Callithrix jacchus: one gene and its partners. The protein of the gene in region 1 interacts with the protein of each later gene in a biochemical or structural test. Links are inferred from orthologs where the notes say so. Each region holds a gene or a part of one and is shown in the gene's direction. Other genes may lie near its edges.

Evidence for each region.
Region 2: the proteins of YAP1 (region 1) and TRERF1 interact in a test that uses a peptide from one of them, tested with the Homo sapiens proteins (2 studies listed by BioGRID and IntAct, with this or other methods). The link is inferred for Callithrix jacchus from reciprocal best matches to the Homo sapiens genes YAP1 and TRERF1.
Region 3: the proteins of YAP1 (region 1) and NHERF2 form a complex in vitro, tested with the Homo sapiens proteins (2 studies listed by IntAct, with this or other methods). The link is inferred for Callithrix jacchus from reciprocal best matches to the Homo sapiens genes YAP1 and NHERF2.

What each region holds. Positions count from the first base shown.
Region 1 is NC_133511.1:37,538,603-37,546,064, reverse strand, and holds the start of YAP1 (transcriptional coactivator YAP1), read left to right. Parts: upstream 1-3,202; 5' UTR 3,203-3,586; coding exon 3,587-3,904; intron 3,905-6,780; coding exon 6,781-7,031; intron 7,032-7,462. UniProt on the Homo sapiens protein: Transcriptional regulator with dual roles as a coactivator and corepressor. Critical downstream regulatory target in the Hippo signaling pathway, crucial for organ size control and tumor suppression by restricting proliferation and promoting apoptosis.
Region 2 is NC_133505.1:50,773,664-50,781,025, reverse strand, and holds part of TRERF1 (transcriptional-regulating factor 1), read left to right. Parts: intron 1-760; coding exon 761-807; intron 808-1,707; coding exon 1,708-1,858; intron 1,859-3,295; coding exon 3,296-3,604; intron 3,605-7,199; coding exon 7,200-7,362.
Region 3 is NC_133513.1:4,724,735-4,732,180, reverse strand, and holds the start of NHERF2 (Na(+)/H(+) exchange regulatory cofactor NHE-RF2), read left to right. Parts: upstream 1-2,707; 5' UTR 2,708-2,825; coding exon 2,826-3,038; intron 3,039-5,687; coding exon 5,688-5,888; intron 5,889-7,446.

The sequences.
Region 1 (7,462 bases):
TTTTGAGATAGTGATCTACATGGACATTGAAAATGGTCCAGGATAAGGGTGGATCTTTGTATGAAGAAGATCCTTTGTATGACAGCATCTTAAAATAGGGAGTCTATTTTAAGATGCTGTCAACTGATAATTGCTCTGCAAAATGGCCAGAAGAGGAAGGAGCAGACAAAGGATTGAATATGTTATCTTTATCCCCTACTACCCTGTGACTGAAATTGTATAAACGAAGAATAGTAAGTTACAAAATTGTGGTTGATGATACAGAAGTGCTTACAGAACATAGTCATTCCAAAGAGCCTTTCGCTCCACTTATCAAAGTAATTTTGTCCTCATTTTAATGGCAGGTAAAACAATATTAAACAAAGCAGCCTCTGCTATATCTTAAGCCCTTTAGTTAGTGTTTGTAGTAGTAAATGCTCTAGTAAAGGGACAACATCCATTTCTTTTCTTTTTATTTTTGAGACGGAGTTTCGCTCTTGTTACCCAGGCTGGAGTGCAATGGCGCGATCTCAGTTCATCGTAACCTCCGCCTCCTGGGTTCAGGCAATTCTCCTGCCTCAGCCTCCTGAGTAGCTGGGATTACAGACACACGCCACCATGCCCAGCTAATTTTTTGTATTTTTAGTAGAGACGGGGTTTCACTATGTTGACCAGGATGGTCTTGATCTCTTGACCTGGTGATCCACCCGCCTCGGCCTCCCAAAGTGCTGGGATTACAGGCTTGAGCCACCGCTCCCGGCCATCCATTTCAATCCCAGGTTTTCAATCACTTTGATTCTTTTTTTGAGACAGGGTCTTGCTGTGTTACCCAGGCTGAAGTGCAGTGGTGTGATCTCAGCTCACTGCAATCTCCACCTCCTGGGTTCAAGTGATTCTCATGCCTCAGCTGCCTGAGTAGCTGGGACTCTAGGCACATGCCAGCACACCTGGCTAATTTTTGTTTTTTTAATAGAGACAAGGTTTACCATTTTGGCCAGACTGGTCTCAAACTCCTGACCTCAGGTGATCTGCTTGCCTTGGCCTCCCAAAGTGCTGGGACTACAGGCATGAACCACCATATCCGGCCCACTTTGGTTCCTAAAGTTTTCTTTCAGGCAAAGTTTTTAATGCATAGTTTCTGCCTAAAGGTTTTGTTTGTGTAGACTTATTATTGGATAAGAGAGGAAGGGACTGCCAAAAGGGTCCCTAAGGCTGTGCTTAGAAAGAGAGAGCTGCTGCAAGGAAAGGCTATGTCACTATCCGTGAAGTAATCTGTGAACACAGGACAATGACCACTGACACTGATGCAGAACTCACTGGTGCAGGACACTGCATGTCCCAAACTGGGCTAAATACTTTATATCCACTGACTCATTTAATGCCTCAACAACTATGTAGGTGTTATTACCCCAATGCTAATATTAAAGAACAGGAATTAAGTAAGTTGTCCAAAATCTCACAGCTAGTAAATGGCAGAACTGGGACCTGAACTCAAAACTCTGTAACTCCAGAACCTAGAGATTTGTCATTAAATGCACTTGACATTTGGAAGTAGAAACAAATCCGGGAAGCAGTCATCGGTGTCATTTACACTGATCCCTTTTTTCAGACAGGAAACTGGGGGTTCAGAGTAGTTGACTGGAATCTTCTGTTAGAATTTTGAGTGTCTGAAACCTGCTACCCTGGCCCAGCCCAACCACACCAGGTGATACGGATCCTTCAGAATTCTACCGGGCATGTTCTGGCTGGAGGAAGAGATTATCTTTTTGCTCACGGACTTTTTCCTTGCTTAATCCTCTTTATACCTCTTTCACTAGCATTGTAGACAAATCATTAAAACAAGAAAGTCACATTTCCTTAGAATGGGCTAGAGCATTTAAATTTAGACTGATGTTGCACAATCCTATGAATATACTAAAAAAAATTCAATGCTTAAATATACAAATATGTACAAATATTACTTAACATTTTATGGTATATGAATTACATCTCAATAAAGACTTTTTTTTTCTTTTTCTTGAGGCTAGTCAAGTGAAGCAGTGGGAGTGGAGAAGGAACAAAGAAATCTGTAACTGGTTGCGATCAATTAGTTGTAAACACCACTGCACTTGGACCAGCCAATAAAGATGCTTTAAAAAAAAACCCGAGAGTGTGACTTAAAACACACATTTCCATTGTTTTTGAGTGGTTTCCAATGAGCTCCTTGCACATCGCGTGCCTGCGGTGACCTCCTTGCCCATTCATTTCTTATTCAGTCCACATTCACAGAGTCCACTGTTGGGCCAGGCACAGGGATAGCAGGGGTAGGACCCAGCTCCCAGAGGATGAAAGACAGGTAAAGAGGAATGAATGCTTGTACCTGAAGAAGCACTGATTTTTTGGGTTGAGGCTTCCAGTGACTATGCTGCAAATTCGAGTACTAAAAAAGTTGATGTGATTTCAGTATTTAGAAAAATACTGAGAAAAATACGCAGTGTTTTTGTTTCTTTTAATAAGTTACAGGGAGTCACAGACCCAGTCTCAAAGCTTCAATTTCAGTAACCATTTATCCTTTCCAAGTGAGTTTTTGCATACCAACACATAAATGAAACAGAATTACAAAATAAAGTTAATGCTGAAAAAAAAAAAGGACCTTTATTAACATTAGCGCCGCCTCACAGTATCTATTTTAACTCCAAGCTATGCTCCCGGCTTGAAGCCCGCACTGGCGCTCCGCTCGGTCGAACCGGGGTAACGCGTGGAGGTGGGTTCGCACATCCTCTCTCCACTTCTTTCGACCTTGGCCCTTTCGCAGGTCCCGGCGAGCTGGAAGCGCCTTTCCCGAGCCCGGGCGAAGAAGGGGCCGAGCGGGGCGGAAGGACTTCCTGCGGCCAAGGGCGGCCGCCTTCTCCGCAGAGACTACAGTTTGGACCCAGATTGGACTCAGCGTTTGTGGTTCGCGAGGCGGAACACAGGGCACGCTCCGGGCCCCTGCCCGGCAGAGCGCGAGCGGAGGGCGGACTGGGCCCGGGTGGGCGAGTCACGTGCGGCCGGGAGCGGCGCCGCGGGCCGGGAGTGTGCAGGAATGTAGCAACTTGCAGCGAAAAGTTTCCCTGCGCGGCAGACTGGGCCGCGGTGCGGGCGGGCGCGCAGAGGAAGGAAGAGCCGGGAGGCGGGGCCGCGGCGGCGCGGGCGGGCGCTTCTCCCAACTTTAGTTTTGGCGTCTGAGGCGAGTTTCTGTCTCAGTCGGGCGCAGCCGCCGCCAGGGAAAAGAAAGGGAGGAAGGAAGGAACAAGAAAAGGAAATAAAAGAGAAACGGGGAGGAGGGGAAAGGCAACCAGCCGTCCGGCCTCAGTCAAGGGAGTTGGAGGGAAAAAGTTCTCAGGCGCCGCAGGTCCGAGTCCCTCGCAGCCCCTCCCGAGGCGCAGCCACCAGACCAGTGGAGCCGGGGCGCAGGGGATGCGGGGCCGCAGCACAGTCCCCCGGCCCTGAGAGCTAGGAGAGCGCCGCTCCCACCGCCCAGCCCGCAGCCCTCGCCGTTTCTCCACCTCGGCCCGTGGAGCCGGGGCGTCCGGGCGGAGCCTTCGCTCGCCTGGTCCGGGGGTGCGCATCGGGGGAGGCAGAAGCCATGGATCCTGGGCAGCAGCCGCCGCCTCAAGCGGCCCCCCAGGGCCAAGGGCAGCCGCCTGCGCAGCCTCAAGGGCAGGGCCCGTCGTCCGCACCCGGGCAGCCGGCACCCGCGGCGACCCAGGCGGCGTCACAGGCACCCCCCGCCGGGCATCAGATCGTGCACGTCCGCGGGGACTCAGAGACCGACTTGGAGGCGCTCTTCAACGCCGTCATGAACCCCAAGACGGCCAACGTGCCCCAGACAGTGCCCATGAGGCTCCGGAAGCTGCCCGACTCCTTCTTCAAGCCTCCTGAGCCTAAATCCCACTCCCGACAGGTAACCTCGCCGCCCCTCTCCCAGCTTCCCCGTCGGGCGGGCCCCAGGCTGGGGGGCGCTCGGGAGTCGCGGCCGCCAGCTCTAGCCAGGGGAGGGGGGGTTGCGGGAGGTCTTGGGTGGGGGTCTCGCGGCGAAGTGGAGGAACTGGAGGCGTCCCCTTGGCTGCGGTGACCGGCTCCCTACTCTTCCCAGAGTCCGGGGCTGAGATTTGTTTTTCCCCTCTGAGTTTCTCTCTGCGGTTGCAGCCCCGGCGGGCGTGCTTTCCCTCTTCCTTCCTTTCTTTCTTCCCGGGGTTCCCGGGAGGTTGGCGGGAGTGGCGGGGGTGTGGGGAGGAAGGAAGGGGGTGGGGAGAGCCGGGCCTGGGCCGCGGTGGGCTTGCACAATGCGCGCGCCTCCGCGCGCTCCGCAACTTCGCTCCCGCCGGGGCCGGGCCGGGAAAGGGGGAGGGGGGCCTCTGGCATTTGTGTGTGGGTGAGTTGCCAGCGGCGGCCGAGTTTCTGAAGTTGAGCCCTGGGCCCCTTTCCTTTGGGGCCTCTCGGTCCACTTCAGTCTCCTGGGGAGTCAAATAATTGTTCTCTTGTTTTCCAATGTTGATTAGGGGTGGGGGTTGAACCGGTCCATTTAGTTTTTTTGCTCGCTCTTCCCCCCCCCGTTTCCCCTCCCCCTCCCGTAAGCTTTTATTTTCTTCGAGGCTCAAGCGCTTTTAGAACACAGGTTTCGGGCTTTCCCTGCCCAGACTTTCCTGGAAGTTGTTTATGGAGTTCTTTCACACCCCCCTGTGCTTCCCTTGTGTCTTGGAACTTGGGCCGGCTCGCTCTTATCAAACTTAGTAGGTTGCGTGTTGGTTTCCCAATTGTAGACTATTATTTACAGTCGGCTGAAACGCTTTTAAATTAGCCACATCTGTACGTTGCGCAGGAACTGAGTTGCACTTTACTGTACCGACGTTTTAACACAAGCCTTTGATAATACACTGCAGGTTGACCCATAGGCCAAGTCCTGCCTAGTTCAACTGTGATTAAAAGTTAATGTTTGGGAAGCGATGACTAATTCTGGAATCGCCATTGCTTTATAATTCTTATTGCGGATATGAACATGGCTGCTTTTCCACATACACAACGTTCGATCATTTTGCCAACTTGATTCAGCATAGAAGTGAAACTATTTATAATGAAAGTGTTAACATTCCGATAGGTCCCCGTGGATTTGTTTAGGGTTCTTTTTCTTTCCTTTTTTTTTAGAAAGAACTTGCTTGAGGCTAAACTTGAGCATAGGAACTTTGCCCAAAAGTTAATAGATTTTCCAAATACTGCAGTGTAGTTAGCCGACTCGGACTGTAACTTGAGTGGAAAGAGTTACCGCCCCCACTCCCATTCCCTCTCCTATTTGCAGGCCTGTTGTATATTCTCCTGTCGGGTTTTGGAACTCAGAAAAGCTCACTTAACCTGATGACAAAAACCCGGGTTAAGGAGGAGGAAGGAAAAACAATTTAGCTTCTTGCCTAAACACTTCAATTTGTCAGAAGTAGACTTAGGTGTGCTTTTTTCTCATACCCCTGAAAGTGGGTTTATGGACTCATTATGGGTAAATACATGTTGGCATGCACCTTACAGACAGTGTATTTTCAAAGTATAATAGACATAGATTGAATCCCCCATTTTGTGGCATCTATCAGCCACAAAGAATCATAACTGGAAAGTGTACTTTTTCTTCTAGTAATTTTTACGTGAATTTCTATCCAGCAGTTCTAAAATTCAGAGTATTATAGTTTTATTTTTAATAAGTTTTTAAGTGTTGTGCATCTGTAAATTCGACTTTTATTTCTGCTAACGATTTCCTAAATCACACTTTTTCTGATGGGAAACAAAGAAAGGTCCATCACTTAAAGGCATGGATATGACTCTACTAAGTCCTTCCAGTTTCCTTACCTTTGTGAATCTAGGAAATTCTTAACTTTTTGGTAATCAAACTCTAATTCTAATTTTTAAAATTTAGATATGCAAGATTAGGAGTAGAACAAATCTAGGTTGCAAATACTATTATTCACAAACTGGTGACTAAGTTTTATGTACATCCATTTTTGTCATGAAAACTGTTTTACAAACGAGAAAACAGGCATATGGAAGTTAAGGTATTTGTTCAGTGTCACACTAGCCAACTTGGAGTGCGGAATTGTTTCTGCTCATAAAGAGTTGTGGATGTGTGTCAGTTATTAAGTTATAATTGGACTCATAACATCTTTATCTTCTACATACAAAGATACAGTTTTTTTTCCATCATGTTCATTGTAGATGGCTTTTAAGAACATTTGGGCAGTTCAAGTTTGTCGATTTCATTACAAATTGTGTAATTTGTTACGATTTCTTTATTGTTGGCATTTTATGATGGGAAAAAATGACAAGGGTTTGTTCTTACTTGGCCTTGACCTAGGGAAAAAAAATGAATTACCTAAAACCTAGTAAAACATGCATATTATTTGTGTTGTGTTTATCCTTAGAATATTTTAGGACTTGGAAAAGCACCCATATTGCATTGACCTTTTAAAAATTAGGTTTTAAAATTTACTATTATTTTTGGAATGTTTTATTTGTTTCAGTACTAGTTGCCTTTACATGTCTAGTGTATAGTAGGTGGAAATTCATTAGATGGACTGCTCATCAATAAAACTACAAATATTTATAAAGTTTATATTAAAATTATATATTAAAAGTATCCATTTGAAAACCTGTGCTCTCTGGTGTCAAATATTAAATGTTGAAATTTTCCTTTGGTTCTTAGACATTTGGCTGCAATTAAGCACTGACTGGGAAATTTAAAGGGACTCTCAAAAAAGTTTTTTTTTTTTTCTTAATTTTTCATGTTAATATTCCTAATAGGCCAGTACTGATGCAGGCACTGCAGGAGCCCTGACTCCACAGCATGTTCGAGCTCATTCCTCTCCAGCTTCTCTGCAGTTGGGAGCTGTTTCTCCTGGGACACTGACCCCCACTGGAGTAGTGTCTGGCCCAGCAGCTACACCCACAGCGCAGCATCTTCGACAGTCTTCTTTTGAGATACCTGATGATGTACCTCTGCCAGCAGGTTGGGAGATGGCAAAGACATCTTCTGGTCAAAGATACTTCTTAAAGTAAGTGAAAATAATGGTGGGAGACAATTATCTAAGAAAAATATGTATTGGAAAAGATAGTAAAGCAGTGTCAAGATATAGAATATTATTTGTTTTTATGTTTTACTTAATATTTATGTTAAGCTCTGTTATATCTTCCATATATGTTTTTTAGTTTGGTATGATCTAAATACGTTTGTTAGCATGGATAATATTTTGAAAGCTTTATTGAGTCTTGGTTCTGAACCTCTCTATAATCTTTTCATTTGTGGAAGTTTGGTATTTCTCATTTTGAGCTTGTGCCAAACTCCTGTTAATTAGCCTAGCACTAAACAGAAAGAATACCATGAAGATTTTCAAATTCTGGAAATTACAGGACTAGCAGCACCTTATGGAATATGTATGGTGCTACTTGTATCTTTTTAAATAAATATTTTATTGGTAGAAAACTA
Region 2 (7,362 bases), on another chromosome or scaffold:
AGAATGAGATGATTTGGCTAAGTCTTTTTAAGAAGAATTCTAGGGCCGTGTATGGTGGCTTACACTTGTAATCCCAGCACTTTGGAAGGCCAAGGTGGGAGGATGGCTTGAGCTCAGGAGTTGGAGACCAGCCTAAGCAACATAGCTATAAAAAATAAATAAATAAATAAAGAATTTAGCCTCCACAAAAAAATAAATAATTTAGCTGGGTGTAGTAGCACATACCTGTAGTTCCAGCTACTTTGGAGGCTAAGGCAGGAGGATTGCTTGAGCCCAGGTAGTAGAGGCTGCAGTGAGCCACGATCATGCTACTGCATTGCAGTCTGGGTCACAGAGCAAGACCCTGACTCCAAAAAATAAAAGGAATGCCATCAGGAGGTCTCCTGGTATGATGCTGTGTTTTCCAGCTTTCTTCTGTGCCCCTTATGGGAATGGAGCCTGTCTGTGCAGGGAGTGTGTACCCTGAGAGAACAGGAAATAACACGGTGGGGGGCTGCATCCTGGTGGGCTTGCTGTGGCTGGCAGCAGCTCCAGGAGTGGGGTGGTGGTCCCAAATCAAAGAGCAATTCAGGGACAGAAGTCAGATGCAGAAGAGTGAGGGTGTGAGTGGATATGCACAGGGACAGCACGAGGCAGCGGGCAGAAAGAGTCCTGGAAGGGTACCTGGTGTTCCCACTACTCCAGGACTCCTCCCTTCAGAACACGTTTTTTTTCTCTCTCTCTCTTCTTTTTTTCGGTTTCCTGTTTGGCTCAAAACTAGATGCACCTACCTGATGGGAGAGCCCAGCCAGTTTCCCCTGAGTCAAGGTAGGTTGAGTGGAGCTTTGTTGGTATTTTGGGAGACTGGGAGGATTTTCTGGGGTGTCTCTCATGATTCATTTCTAAATTCAAAGTTAAATCCTCAAAAAATTGTGTAGAAATAATACACAACAGCTGTTGTGTTTGAGTGCATGCTATGTGCTAAGCCCTATGCATTCTGTGTAGTAGAGTAACCTAAGAGGGTGGGTATAATTATGATGTGCCTATACTCAGTAAGCACTCAATAATTCTTAGCTATTATTATTGTTACTTTACAAATGAGAAAACTGAGGCTCAGAGAGCTTAAGGTTAAACATCAAGTAACAATGCTGGGATTGACTGCAAAGACCATGTTCTGTCCACTCTGCATTCATTCAGTATTTATTAAGTGCCTACTGTGTGCCAAGCATAGAGCTAGGCTTTGAGAATGCAGCAGTGAATAGTACAGACTTGCTTCCTCATCTCATGGGCATGGTAACTGAAGATTTAGCCAAACCTGATAAACTGCTGAAGTGTGCAATGCAGAGGCTGCCTTGGGAACTTGCACCAGTGTCTCCAGCAGGGAGGCTTTTGGAGGAGCTGGGCTCAGGCTGACCCTGGAAGGGTAATGAGCTATAGTTCCCAAGTCAAAATCCATTGCCTAAAGGCCTGGCATGAAGAAGGACATTTTGTTCAGTTCTTGCATGACTTTGAGAAGGTCTTTTCCCATGCTGAGCCTCAGTTTTTCATCTGTAAATTGGGCTTAGTTCTCTAAAGGGCATGGGGGGGATGCAAATGGTGCCGTGGACAATGGGATCACTGGATGAATGAAATGGGTCTGTGGTGGGTATGAGGTCCTGTGGCAAGTCACTGTTTCTCTTCCGTTCCTCGTCATATGTGTCCTCTCCATTTGGCTCTACCCTTGAGCAGTGGCCAACCCAAAGGAGTGTTTGGGGAGCAGTTTGATGCCAAGAACAAGCTGACGTGCTCCATCTGCCTGAAGGAGTTCAAGAACCTGCCTGCCCTGAACGGCCACATGCGGTCCCATGGGGGAATGAGGGCCTCCCCCAACCTCAAACAGGTTAGCAGGAGCCAATCCCTGGTCCTTTCTAGGCCATGTGCTGCTTGCTTTGCTTTGCTGCTGTCAGAGAGTGATGTGAGCCCCACGCGGGACATGGCGACACACCGTCCTCCCTTGACAGGAATGCTTAGGCTCTGAGGCTGGAAGCCAGCCAGGTCAAAGAGCCCCACTTCCCCAGTGTTACAGTGAGCAAGGTCAAAAATAGGCGCTAGAAAGCCTTTTAGGGCATCCCAGCCTCTCTCTCTGCCTCCTAGAGAAGACAGCAAAGGAAAACATGTAAATGCAATATTGTTTTTAAACTTCTGCTGCTTGACACACCCAAGACTGGGGCCACTGGGGCCTTGCAGATTAGTGGTCAACGGCCAGAGAGAGCTAATACAACCAGCAGGCTCTCTGCCAGAATTTTCTGTTTACTGATGCAGTGGTGTTTGGCTCAACATCCAAAGATCCTTAAATACCCTCCAGATTATCCAAGGTAGGGTACCCAGATAGTAAACTATCCACAAGTTTTAGAGTTAGAGTAAAATTAAAAAAAAAAATTCTCAGAATTCTTTGAATATTGTTACTTTTAATTTAAATCTATGGGATTAAATCTCTGTTGACCAGAATTTTTGATTACCCAGATCACTCCATCTCCTGGCCATGCCAGATTATGTTTTTTAAAAAAGCTTTTGTTTTTACTTATTAAAAGTACATGTTTTGGGTCGGGCATGGTGGCTCACACCTGTAATCCCAGCACTTTGGGAGGCTGAGGCAGGTGGATCACCCGAGGTTGGGAGTTCAAGAGCAGCCTGACCAACGTGGAGAAACCCCATCTCTACTAAAAATACAAAAAAATTGCCAGGCGTGGTGGTGCATGCGTGTAATCCCAGCTACTCAGAAGGCTGATGTGAGAGAATCCCTTGAACTCAGGAGGTGGAGGTTGCGATGAGCCAAGATTGTGCCATTGCACTCCAGCCTGGGCAACGAGAGTGAAACTCCATCTCGAAAAAACAAAAAAATACATATTTTGTATCTCCAGTGTGGTTTCCTGACCTGAATAAAATTTAGGATGGAATGCCTACTTCCATTTGACAAATGAATAAACTAAGGCCCACAGAATTAAAAACTGCACAAGATCCTACCTTTTTTGGACTGATGACAAGTTCGTGTCCTTTCCTTTAAAAGCAATGACAACCACATAATTTTTAAAAATTGCCTAATACACAAGTAATAAAATGGTCAAGATTTTTTAGCTGTAGAAAATGGAGGCCACGGCCTCCTCTACCATCAGCTGGCATCACTCCATCCAAGGGACTCAGGATTGCAGGAAGGAAATCGCCCTGCAGTGGTTATCACCCATACCTGATGTCCTGGAATCCTTCAGGAAAAGCAAAGTGCATCCCCTTTGTGAGAGCTTCTCTCAGCCCAGGATCAAAGCCTTTATTGTCTGTGTAGGAGGAAGGAGAGAAGGTCCTGCCGCCTCAGCCCCAGCCGCCACTGCCGCCTCCGCCTCCGCCTCCGCCGCCGCCACAGCTCCCTCCCGAGGCAGAAAGCCTCACGCCTATGGTCATGCCTGTGTCTGTCCCTGTCAAGCTTCTCCCGCCCAAGCCCAGCTCTCAGGGGTTCACCAACAGCACCGTTGCCGCCCCCTCCGTCAGAGACAAGCCAGCCAGCTCGATGTCGGACGACGAGATGCCTGTGCTCGTGAGGATGACCCTCTCTCCCCCACACTCACCCCAAGGGGCTGCCCCCCGCACGCCTGCTGTGAGTTGCTGCTCTGCCCCACCTGCCTGGGTGGGGACATCCCTTTGCTTTCTTAGAGATGGGGCAGCCCTTCCAGAGTCACTGACCTGAGCTCAACATGGCTTGGCCTCTCAGGGCCGAACCCCTGTGGCCATGGTGGGAACCCCATCCTTGATGCCAGACTAATGGCCTGGGTTAGGTTCTGAGAGACCCTAAAGTGTTCCCAGATCACCAGAGATGATCATTCAGCTGGGACTCACTGGGACAATCATCGCCGTTATTGAAATACGGAAGTACCGTATACCAAAAAATAAGCAGCTTGCCCAGGCCTTGGCCCCTTCCCCAGGATCTCCAGACCTCCCATATCCACTACCAAAGAGGTAAACACTGGCGCGGCAGGCTTCCGCGCAATGGCCCTGGCATCCATTCTGACAATCAGCCTTACCAGATGCTTATTATTTTGTCTGCTTAAATCCCCTGGAGAGCCTAATTTGTTAAAGTTCCCAAAGTAGTTCCACTAAGAGCCACCCACCCCTAGTCTCAGGAAAGCAAAGAGATTTGTTTTTCTCACTCACTGTTCTCCTTTCTCCAATCCTAAGTGCTTCACTCAAAGAGCTTAACTTGGCTCTGGGAAGGGTTTCTTTGTCTGTGGTCTGTCTCTCTCTCTCTCTCTGTCTGTCTGTCTCTTGGACCCTAGGGAATTTATGATCTGTGTGGTTGACAATATCAAACCTATCTCCCCACAGAGTGGTGTGTTGGGGTCATATTTGTCCTTAGGAATAGGCAGCTGCTGAGAGTCCAGGGGGCATAGGGTGAGGCTGGGCCAGGATACAGGGAGAGAGGATAATTAATAGAACTAGAACAGTCCAGAAAAAAACCTTTATGATTCTCTGTGTTAATATCAAGTCCTCAAAAGAAGAGAAACTGATGGAGAACTGGGGGGGGGGGGGAGATTCTCATAAGCTGTCAGGACTTGGGGGGCCAGCCACAGGCAGAGAGATGAAATGACACATCCAAGCTCCCTCTTTGCCCAGGGGAGTTCGTGATTTGGTGGGAGAAACACTATTTCCCTCCTTGGGGAACTCTCAGTTAAGGGTTCATAATCACATGGGGGTCAGAGTCCCAGGCACACCCCCTGCCACCATCACCCATTCAAGATGGTGAGAAAAAGACAGGGGCAGACAAGAAACGGATGCAGCAGGTGTGACTGGATGGGAATATACTTGGGTGGCGAAAGTCATTATGGACCGAGGAGGGGCAAGGGAGTTTGCTCAGGAGATCATCATTAGGGTTCTGAGCAGGATTTGGAAGGAAAGGATGATCTTGACTTAATGGACGGGTGAGAGAGACCTGTCGGTTGGGGGGATTGTGAATTGGATACGTGTAGGTGGGACTGAATACTTGTGAACAAGGTCCTGGCACTTGGTGTAAAGAAATTAAAACATCCAGGACAGAGCCCTGAGTGCCCATCCCAGCTTGGCTTCTAGCCAGCTCCTCAGTGGTTCTCATCCTTCTCTGTGGACAGCTTTTTAAAGATTTCAGTGCTTGGTCTCACCCTCAAAGTGTCCAGATAGTTTGGTGGGGTGGAACACTATGCTTCCTCTCAAGTGGCAACCAGGCATGACATTCTAGGTGGCTTCTGTGGCCCAGTGGCTCAGAGCCTTTACCTGGAGGATCAGAAAATCCAGGTTTAGGCCAGGCGTGGTGACTCACACCTGTAATCCCAGCACTTTGGGAGGCTGAGGCGGGTGAATCACCAGGTCAGGAGTTCAAGACCAGACTGGCCAAGATGGTGAAGCCCCATCTCTACTAAAAATACAAAAATTAGCTGGGCATGGTGGTGGGCGCCTGTAATCCCAGCTACTCTGGAGGCTGAGGCAGAGAATGCTTGAACCCGGGAGGCGGAGGTTTCAGTGAGGTGAGATCACACCACACCACTGCACTCCAGGCTGGGCAACAGAGACTCCATCTCAAAAAAAATTCCAGGGTTAGAGCTGCAGTAACAGGACAAGAAGCTGGAGGAGTGGGAGCCCCAAAGGGACCTCTGGCCCTGTAATCAGAGGTCTGGATTGCAGTGCTGCGTTAAGATAGCTTGAGGTCTACATGTTCTTAGATGACCTCATCTGTTACCCAGAAACAGGGTAGGCTGTAACTTCAGGGCTGCTTTCCTTATCCGGGCAACAGCCTCCTTCCCCCATTCTCAGCCCCTCTCCCGCCTCAACCTCAGGCGCTGAGGAGCCCTCTGGTGGAGAGAGGAGGCAGTTGAGCGCGCTAGCCTAAGGAGTGCCCCCTGGGGGTGAGGTAGGGGGTTAGAAACCTCACTCTGGAGCTGGGAGCCTAGAACCCTCTGCCTCCCTAGACTCCCCCTCCTAGAGACCAGGATGGCACCATGGAAGGCAAGGAAGCTGAGGGAGAAACAGAAGGCGCCAAAACCTTGGCGCTCTGGAGGGAGAGGAGACCAGAGCAGAGACCAGAGCTTTGATGCTCTGGAGGGAGAGGAGACCAGAGCAGAGGAGCCCATGGGGCAGGTCACATGGCCTGGAGGCAGCTGGTCACATGACCGTGGCCAGCCCTTCCCATCACCCCCTGCTGCTTCCTACCCAGGCGCCACCCTGGGCTCAGGACTCTCCAGGACCTGCAGCTTTGACTGGCCCCTGGCCTGCAGGGCCTGAGAGGGCACACCAGACTGTCTAGAACCTTCTTCCCTCAGGTATCCCCGTGGCCCCTTCCAACCACACCGCCTGTGCAGCCACACGCAGCTCTCAACTTTTCTGGGCTGATGCTACCACACAACCCGAGTCTGTTTCCGGTTTGGCTTTGGCATGCCCTGCTCATCTGTTGACGTGCATATGTTTACTTATTAGTATATATGTATCCATGTGGCAGATCCTCCTTCCAGACTATGCTTGGTTCCGCTGCCATTAAAATAAACTAACTCTCCTGACAGGAAGCCAACCTCAGAGAAGAGTTTGCTACAAATAAGCTACAAGTTCTGGAAGCAATAGTGAGGGGTGGTGAGGGGGGAGGTCAACCAGACCCGTGCTTAGGTGAGCACACTGAAAGGGCCTTAGAGGTCATCGCGGGCTCTCCCCGGTGCTGAAAGTGACCCAGGAGAGCCCGGTGTGGGTCGCTGGCCGTAGGAGCCTTGGCTAGGCTTGAACCCCCTCTTCCTGCCCCACAGGTCTCGGTGCCAGCTTCCCTGAAGAGATTGTTCTGTCCCCTTCTCAGAACATGTGGTATCTGTTCCTGATGTCCGTCTCTGGGGAGCAGAGGGGGAATCAAAGAGCCCACTCAGCTGGATTCCACTCAAACAGATGGGAATGTAGTGATAAGCAATGAAGACATTGAATTTATTACTTCTTGACCACCCACTATTCCTATCGCCCCCAGCTCTTTCAGAAATTAGGGATTTCTTCCAAAACTTTAGTTTTCTTCCTAGTCTAGCAGCCAGAACTCGCTTTGCCTGAAATGGATGTGGTGGCGCGGGGTGGGGTGGGAGGCGGTCAAGCAGAAGGTCTGTCTGCTCAGACAGTAGAAGGCCCCCTTCCCTGAACCTGTGGAATTGGCCTGCAGGGGAAGCTGAAGTATTCTAATCATTTTGTTGTTCTGCTTTTAGGAAATCCCCAAGAAGCAGCAGCCCAGCCTGCCCAAAGCCGAGGAGCCCCTCAAGACCGTGCAGGAGAAGAAAAAGTTCCGGCACCGGCCGGAACCACTCTTCATCCCGCCGCCGCCCTCCTACAACCCGAACCCCACCGCCTCCTACTTGGGCGCCACCCTGT
Region 3 (7,446 bases), on another chromosome or scaffold:
GGGTGGATCACGAGGTCAAGAGGTCGAGACCCTCCTGGTCAACATGGTGAAACCCCGTCTCTACTAAAAATCAAAAAATTAGCTGGGCATGGTGGCGCGTGCCTGTAATCCCAGCTACTCGGGAGGCTGAGGCAGGAGAATTGCCTGAACCCAGGAGGCGGAGGTTGCGGTGAGCCGAGATGGCGCCATTGCACTCCAGCCTGGGTAACGAGCCAAACTCCGTCTCAAAAAAAAAAAAAAAAAAATCATTCTTATTATTTGAGATGGAGTCTCACTCTGTCTTCCAGGCTGGAGTGCAGTAGCATGATCTTGGCTCACCGTAACCTCCACCTCCTGGTGCAAGTGATTCTCATGTCTCAGTGTCCTGAGTAGCTGGGATTACAGGCACCCACCAACCCACCTGGCTAATTTTTGTATTTTTAGTAGAGATGGGGTTTCACCATGTTTGCCAGGCTGACCTCGAACCCCTAACGTCAGGTGATCCACCCGCCTCCGCCTCCCAAAGTTCTGGAATTGCGGGTAAGAACCACCGCACCAGCCTTGGGTTTTTTTGTTTGTTTGTTTTTCTGAGAGTCTCGCTGTCACCGAGGCTGGAGTCCAGTGGCACCATCTTGACTCACTGCAACCTCTGCCTCCTGGGTTCAAGTGATTCTTCTGCCTCAACCTCCCTAGTAGCTGGGATTACAGGTGTGTGCCACCATGGCTAAATTTTTTTGTCTTTTTAGTAGAGATGGGGTTTTGCCATGTTGGCCAGGCTGGTCTTGAACTCTTGACCTTAGGTGATCCACTTGCCTCAGCCTCCCAAAGTGCTGGGATTACAGGTGTGAGCCACTGCTCCCAGCCCCCCATCCCATCTTCAGTCACTGGGAGGAGGAATCAGCTGAGTCCTGGGCCAGGGAAGGCTGATGTATGCCCGAGGCTGATCAGGAGTCTGCCCCAGCTAGGGGGAAAGGTCTGCAAGCCCCCTTACCCCCACTCCTTACCCTGCTGGGGGCTCCCATCCAGCCACCTTCCTGACTCTGGTGTGGCCTTGAAGCTACAGCCTGTCAGGTTTTGGGTGGCCCTGGTTGATGTGGGATGACCCCCTAAGCCCCACCAGCAGTGGTGTGTGGGGTGCGTGGTGGCTCACACTGCCCACAGCCACCCTCACAGGCTCCAAGGGTGGCAGCACCAGGCTGTGTCCAGGGAGGCCAGCCACAGGCCGGACAGGCAGCCCCTGGACATGCAGACAGACAGATGGAGGTGGCCAGCCGGGCGGGAGCCTGAGGCAGCCTCAGCCAGGAATTGCAGGGGTGGGGGTAGGGAGCAGCCATGGGGCCTCAGCCTAAGTGGCTTTTAGGGGCAGCTGCCGGGATGTGGGCACCCAGGGGGGCATGGCCCAGGAGGCTGCCCAGAGGCGGGTCCTGTGCTTGGGCGGGGGCAGGGGAGCCTAGGCTGAGGGCACTGGAGAGAGGAGAGGGAGAGGAGGACTGCACCAAGCCTGCTTCTCCTGCCCACATGGGGAATTGCCTGGGCTGGCTGTGCCTAACTCCTGGGAACCAGGTATGTGTAGGGGGCCTGGCTGGACTGGGGAGGAGGGCAAGCTGGGGCTGTGCCTGGACTCAGCTGCCTTCCCACATTGGAGACTGAGGAAGAGCTGGGTGGGGAAGAGCATGGACTCTGAATCTCACATCCCTGGGCCCAAATGGAGCTGAGGAAACTTTGTGGGTCTCTTCCCTCTTCAGACCTCAGTTTCCAGATCTGTAAAGTGGCCAGACCCCTAGGGTTGTTCCAGGTAAATGCACTCAGCCATAAATGATTTTGTTGTGATGGTGATTGTTCTGTTGGGGAAGGGGGACACTCCTGCTTCAGGTGGAGGCTGTGGGCCAGGGGAGGGGAGGCCTACAGGGGTCTGCCTGTGGACAGTGGCCACCACTCAGAACTCAGAGCTCAGACACTTCAGTGCAGTGTATCCCATGTCAGGAGCGGGTAGCAGAGACCTTTGAGACTCCTTCCCCTACCCTCATCCGAGCCTGTGACTGTAAAGTCACAGTCCAGGCCTGGGGTGGGCTGGGACACAAGTGAGGGGGGCCCAGCCAAGGGAAATAATGGGGGGAGGGCTCAGGAATGGACTTGGTGCAGATAGCCGAAACACGGTGGGTAGATCAGGGAGTCTCCCAGTCACCGGCCCCCAGGGTGCAGAAAGGGGCTGCTGCGTGTCACTTTTAAACCCCTCTTTTTGCCTCCTGGGCCCTCCTGAGCCGCTGCCCTGTCCCAGGGCAGCTCTGGCTGCAGGAGGGATCCGGATCAGGCACAGCCTAGAGGAGACAGGCAAGGGGGTCGGGGAGGGCTACCTGGGGAGGGTGGAGGGCCGTGGCCCTCGTTCTTACCCTTTGGCCCCTTTGTGGGGGGAGTCCTTTGGCCTGGAGACCCTTTTTCCAACCCGTCACCCACCTCAAGACCTGCCTCGGTGCTGCGCATACAGTAGGTTTCCAGTAAATGTTCCTGGAATAGAAGGCAGAGGCGCTGGCACCCGGGCGGCCGTCCAGAGTAGGGGCGAGACAGAGGGGTCCCCTGGCCCTGCCGCCTCCCCCCGCACCCCCTTGGACTGTCAGGGCGCAGAGGCAGGGGCCTGTCCGGGATGGCTGGGACGGGGGCGGGGGCGGCCGGACGGCGGGGGCGGGGGCGGGGAAGGGGCGGGCGCGGGGGCGGTGCCGCAGCCCGAGCCGGAGCCCGAGCCGGAGCCCGAGGCGACGGGAGCCGAGCGGGAGCTGCCGAAGCCGCCGCCGCAGCCCCCGAGCTCCCCTGCACCCCTGCCTGCGGGCGGCCGGTGGGCAGCGGGCGCCATGGCCGCGCCGGAGCCGCTGCGGCCGCGTCTGTGCCGCCTGGTGCGCGGCGAGCAGGGCTACGGCTTCCACCTGCACGGCGAGAAGGGCCGCCGCGGGCAGTTCATCCGGCGCGTGGAGCCCGGTTCCCCCGCCGAGGCCGCCGCGCTGCGCGCTGGGGACCGCCTGGTCGAGGTCAACGGCGTCAACGTGGAGAGCGAGACGCACCACCAGGTGGGGGCCCGAGCTTGCCCCGGTCCGCCCACGCCTCCACGAGCACTTCTCCCTGGGGTGGGCGGGGGTCGCACGGGGCCCGAGGGGGGTCCCGCGGGGAGGACGCGGACGTTGCGGGGAGGCAGTGGCCCGGCGCCTTCCCAGTCCCGGCGCAGGAAGCTCAGCCTTGCACGGGGTGGGGGTGTATCCTGGCAGGGAGGGGCCCGCACTGCGGCTCCTGGCCGTTGGCTTCGCCGTTTGGTTGCCTTTTGGCCTCAGTGTGCCATGAAGGAGGGTGTCAGGCAGCCTGGGGCCCCTCAAGGAAGGTGGAGACCTGGGTGCTTTTGCCTGGGTGTGTGTGTACACGTGTGTGTGTGAACACAGCTGGGTGTGTGTGTGCAGGTCCCTCTGGGGTCAGCCATGTGTGCACGCGCCTGCCTGTGTGTACCCAGGAGGGGACTGCTAAGGGCATCAGTGTGTCTGCACCTGTGTGTGTGCCGGAGTGTGCGTGTATCCAGGTCTGCACACGTGTGTGTGTGTGTGTACAGGTTTAGACTCCTGGTCGTGTGAGCGCTGGACTCTGTGTGTGAACATGAGTGTGTCTGTGAGCCTGTGTGTCTGCATGCCTGGCCTGTATGCTTGTCACTGTGTGTCTGCAGGCTGGTGAGTCTGTGTGTCCATACTCTTGTGTGTCCCAGCCAGGTGTGTCTGGGACAGGTGGGAGTTGGCCATTGGTGGCAATCACATTCCTTAGCTCCAAAGGCACTGCCCCTCCTAAGAGGCTGCTTAGCTTGGCTCGGGACATTGGCTGAAGCCTCCTGCCTCCTGGCCAATGCGAACAGAGCCTTTTCTCTGTGGGTTCTGACCCCTGAGTCTGTCTGTCTCCCACAGGCCAGGGACTCACTCCAGACCCTGGTTGGAGTCCAGTGTCCACACACCCTTTGTTCTCCACGTCCCCTGTCCCTCACAGCACCAGCAAATCCTGTCTACATGGCTGGTCCTGGATCCTAGAGATTAGTAGGTTGGGGCCGGGCGAGGTGGTTCACACCTGTAATCCCAGCACTTTGGGAGCTCAAGGCGGGCAGATCATGATTTCAGGAGATGGAGACCATCCTGGCTAACAGGGCGAAACTCTGACTCTCCTACAAATACAAAAACGTAGCCGGACGTGGTGGTGCACGCCTATAGTCCCAGCTACTTGGGAGGCTGAGGCAGGAGAATCGCTTGAACCAAGGAGGCAGAGATTGCAGTGAGCTGAGATGACTCGGGAACAGAATGAGACTCCTCAAATAAAAAAAGAGATAGCAGGTTGGCTCATGGCTAGGCCTGGAGCTGGTCTCCTGTTCACCCAGTACCTGTCCATTCCTCTGCAGCTTGCCCCTGCCTCCCATCCAGAGTGTCTGTTGTGTAAGGTTGTTTGCTGAAGAAGGTGGGGATCAGGCTGGGGGCCTGGGCCTGAGGGACCGAAGGTGTGGCTGGCAGGGTGAGGGGACAGTCACTGCCACCTTTTCCCTGGGAACATCTGCTTATCCAAGGCCCCTGGGGTGCTGGTCTCAAGGACTGGACACACAGGTCATGGCGGAGCCTCCCCTCTGCCCCAGGAGGGCAAGAGGGGCAGTTACAGCCTCATGGGACAGGAGAAGAAAGTGATGCTGGTGATTTGGGGTGACTGGTCTGGGACACATAGTCAAGAAACAGCTGGGCCCTGGGTTCCTTTTGCCTCACTCTTCATGGGGAGAGAGGAGGACCAGTGGGAAGATGGGCCTGTCTCGGCCCCTCGTATCTGTTCACCACCCCTGCTGAGCCCGGCAGCTGGTAGGGAGCCCTGTCTACCCTCCCACAGGCAGCAGGTGGAAGTGGGGCTGCCCCTCCTCCTCCCCACGGCCCAGTGGGCACTGCTTTCTCTCTGAGGGTGCATGCTGGCCCCCTGTGTGGTCCAGATACTTCACAGGCACCTGCACGCACACGCCGACAGCCATGCCACAGCTGTCCACAGGTGCACCTGCCCCTCCCCCTCGACGGCTGCAGCTCAGTCCTGCCTGCTTCCCGGGCTATGTGTGGGTCCTTGAGCCAGGAGCCCAGCTCTTCCATCTCCGCAGGTCCCACGGGAATGGGCTCATGGTCATGGTCTGCAGGCAGATGCAAGGCTTGGGGTCAGGGGTTTAGACTCCCGCACTGTGTGGCAGAGAGTGACAGGAATGGGCATAGATACACCCAAACTGGGGCCCAGGAAGACCCTCGTCTTCCTCGAACGCGGAGGGAAATACAATCTTTGAAACGGATGCACGCATACGCATGCACGAGAAGACGGAAAAGCTGAAGCTCAGCTGGGCACCATCTTTGTCACTTCCGGACAGGACTCCCCAGCTGCCGTACCCTGCAGCCCCTTCCTGACCCCTCTGGAGAAGACCCAGGGCTAAGAGCAAGGCCCTGGGAGGACCCTGAAGCCCTGGCAGCCTGGGCTTTAGTGTCCAGAGCCCAGAGGCAGAGGGAGGGAGCCGCTGGAGTCTGGGGGTGGGGGGCGGGGCTGGCAGGCCTCTTGGTGCAGCCACCCACCCATGCAGACCAGCTGCCTGTCCGCATGCCCAGGCCAGCCCAGAGCGGTGGCACTGCCCGTGTGCGGACCGGAGTGCAGGCCTCTGACCCACTCCTACCACCCATTTGTCCCAGGTGGTGCAAAGGATCAAGGCTGTGGAGGGGCAGACCCGGCTACTGGTGGTGGACCAGGAGACGGATGAGGAGCTGCGCCGGCGGCAGCTGACCTGCACTGAGGAGATGGCCCAGCGAGGGCTCCCGCCCGCCCACGACCCCTGGGAGCCAAAGCCAGACTGGGCACACGTGGGCGGCCGCAGCTCTGATGCCAGCAAGAAGGTATGGTGGGCTGGGCCACAGGGACCGCCCTAGCCTCTCCCAGAGCCTCTCTCGACGACAATCTTGCCTCTGGTCCCCTCCAGAATCTTGGTCTCTTCTGCCTTTTGGGGCTCCTTTTCTGCCCCAGACACCATCTTGTTGGCTACTGGGGGCCACTCTTTCCATCCTCAGCCTGTGTTCTAAACTGGGAGGAGTCAGAGCATCCTGATCCGTTCCTCTTCTCCGGGATGCTCCGGAGCCACTGCACTATGGAGGGGTCACTCTGACAAGCCACCGCCTCCCCAACCCCCAGCCTGTTGGCTCGAGGAACCCTGGGAAGAGGCATTCCAGGTCTCTGTGTGCCCAGCTCTGTGTCTGTGTTGGGAGTCGTCCGTGGCTTCTGCATGCTGGGAAGGCCTGAGAGGGGGCCGGCCACCTCTGCAGGCAGCGCCTTGAGGAAGGGGTCCAGGAGGCTCCAGGGTGAGCCCACCCTCCCCCTAGATATAAGGGAGGCCCACGGATCCTGTCTGTTGTTCCTTCTGGAGCCCTGCTGGGCAGCACTTCCTCCTTCCCCTGCACCTGCTCCCAGCGAGGAGACCCAGAAAAGTTGAGGCTCGGCCTGCTCCACCTCTGGCTAGGTGGCCGCTGGAAGGGGCAGCCTGGTAGGCCTGGGGGCCAGTAGGCACAGCCTGAAGCTGTCTGTCCTGCCTTCCTGGACATCCTGACATGCTCTCAAAGAAATCCCTTCAGGGAATTGAATCCACGGGTTTCCCAGGCCCCACTTTGAGAACCTGGGCCTGGGTCGGAGGTGTGGGATCTGGAGTTTCTGGGGGAGCAGGGGATCTGCACGTTGACTTTTTCCCTTTCCCAAACATTTCGCCTGGAGCTAGCTGCGCCTGGAGCTGAGCCCCGGGGGCTATCTTCGCAGGGAGACGGCATTCCCTGTGGGGAGCCGAGCCTGGGCACAGGCCTGGCCATAGGTCCTGTGGGACCTGTTTCGGTTCCTGGGGCTTGAGGGCAGACTATGGCAGTGCTCGGGGCCAAGATGCCCAGCCCCGGGTGGGTTGGTGGGGGCTGGCCTTACAGGGGGGCTGGCTGGCCCAGGCCCCTGGCTCCAGGCTGAGGGTTGGGGCCTCCCTCTTTCCCAGGCACCCTCCTTCCCCCAGGAGGAAGCTCCCCCTCCACCCCAGGCATTTTTCCATTGATTTGGACACAAATGCACCGGTCACCTTCCTGTGGAAAAATCCGGCCCTCGGACTTTATCTGGAGGGTGTGGTAGCTGAGGCACCTTGCCTTGGGTGGGACCTTCCCCCTTTGCTATTTCAGGCTCTGGGGGCTGCAGGAAGCCCTAGGAGGGGCTTCCTCTGGGCGTATTTTTAGAGGAACAAAGGGTGGCCTGAGTGGCAGGTCCCTCTGTGCATGAGTCTGGCTGAAGACAGGGGCTCCAGGAGGTCAGGGGCACCCAAGGAACAAGCTCTCCCCCTCTCTCTTCTGTCATTGAGACCTGAGGTTTCTTTTTTTTTTTCCCCTTGGCTCACTGCAATCTCCTACATCTGGGTTCAAGTGATTCTCCTGCCTC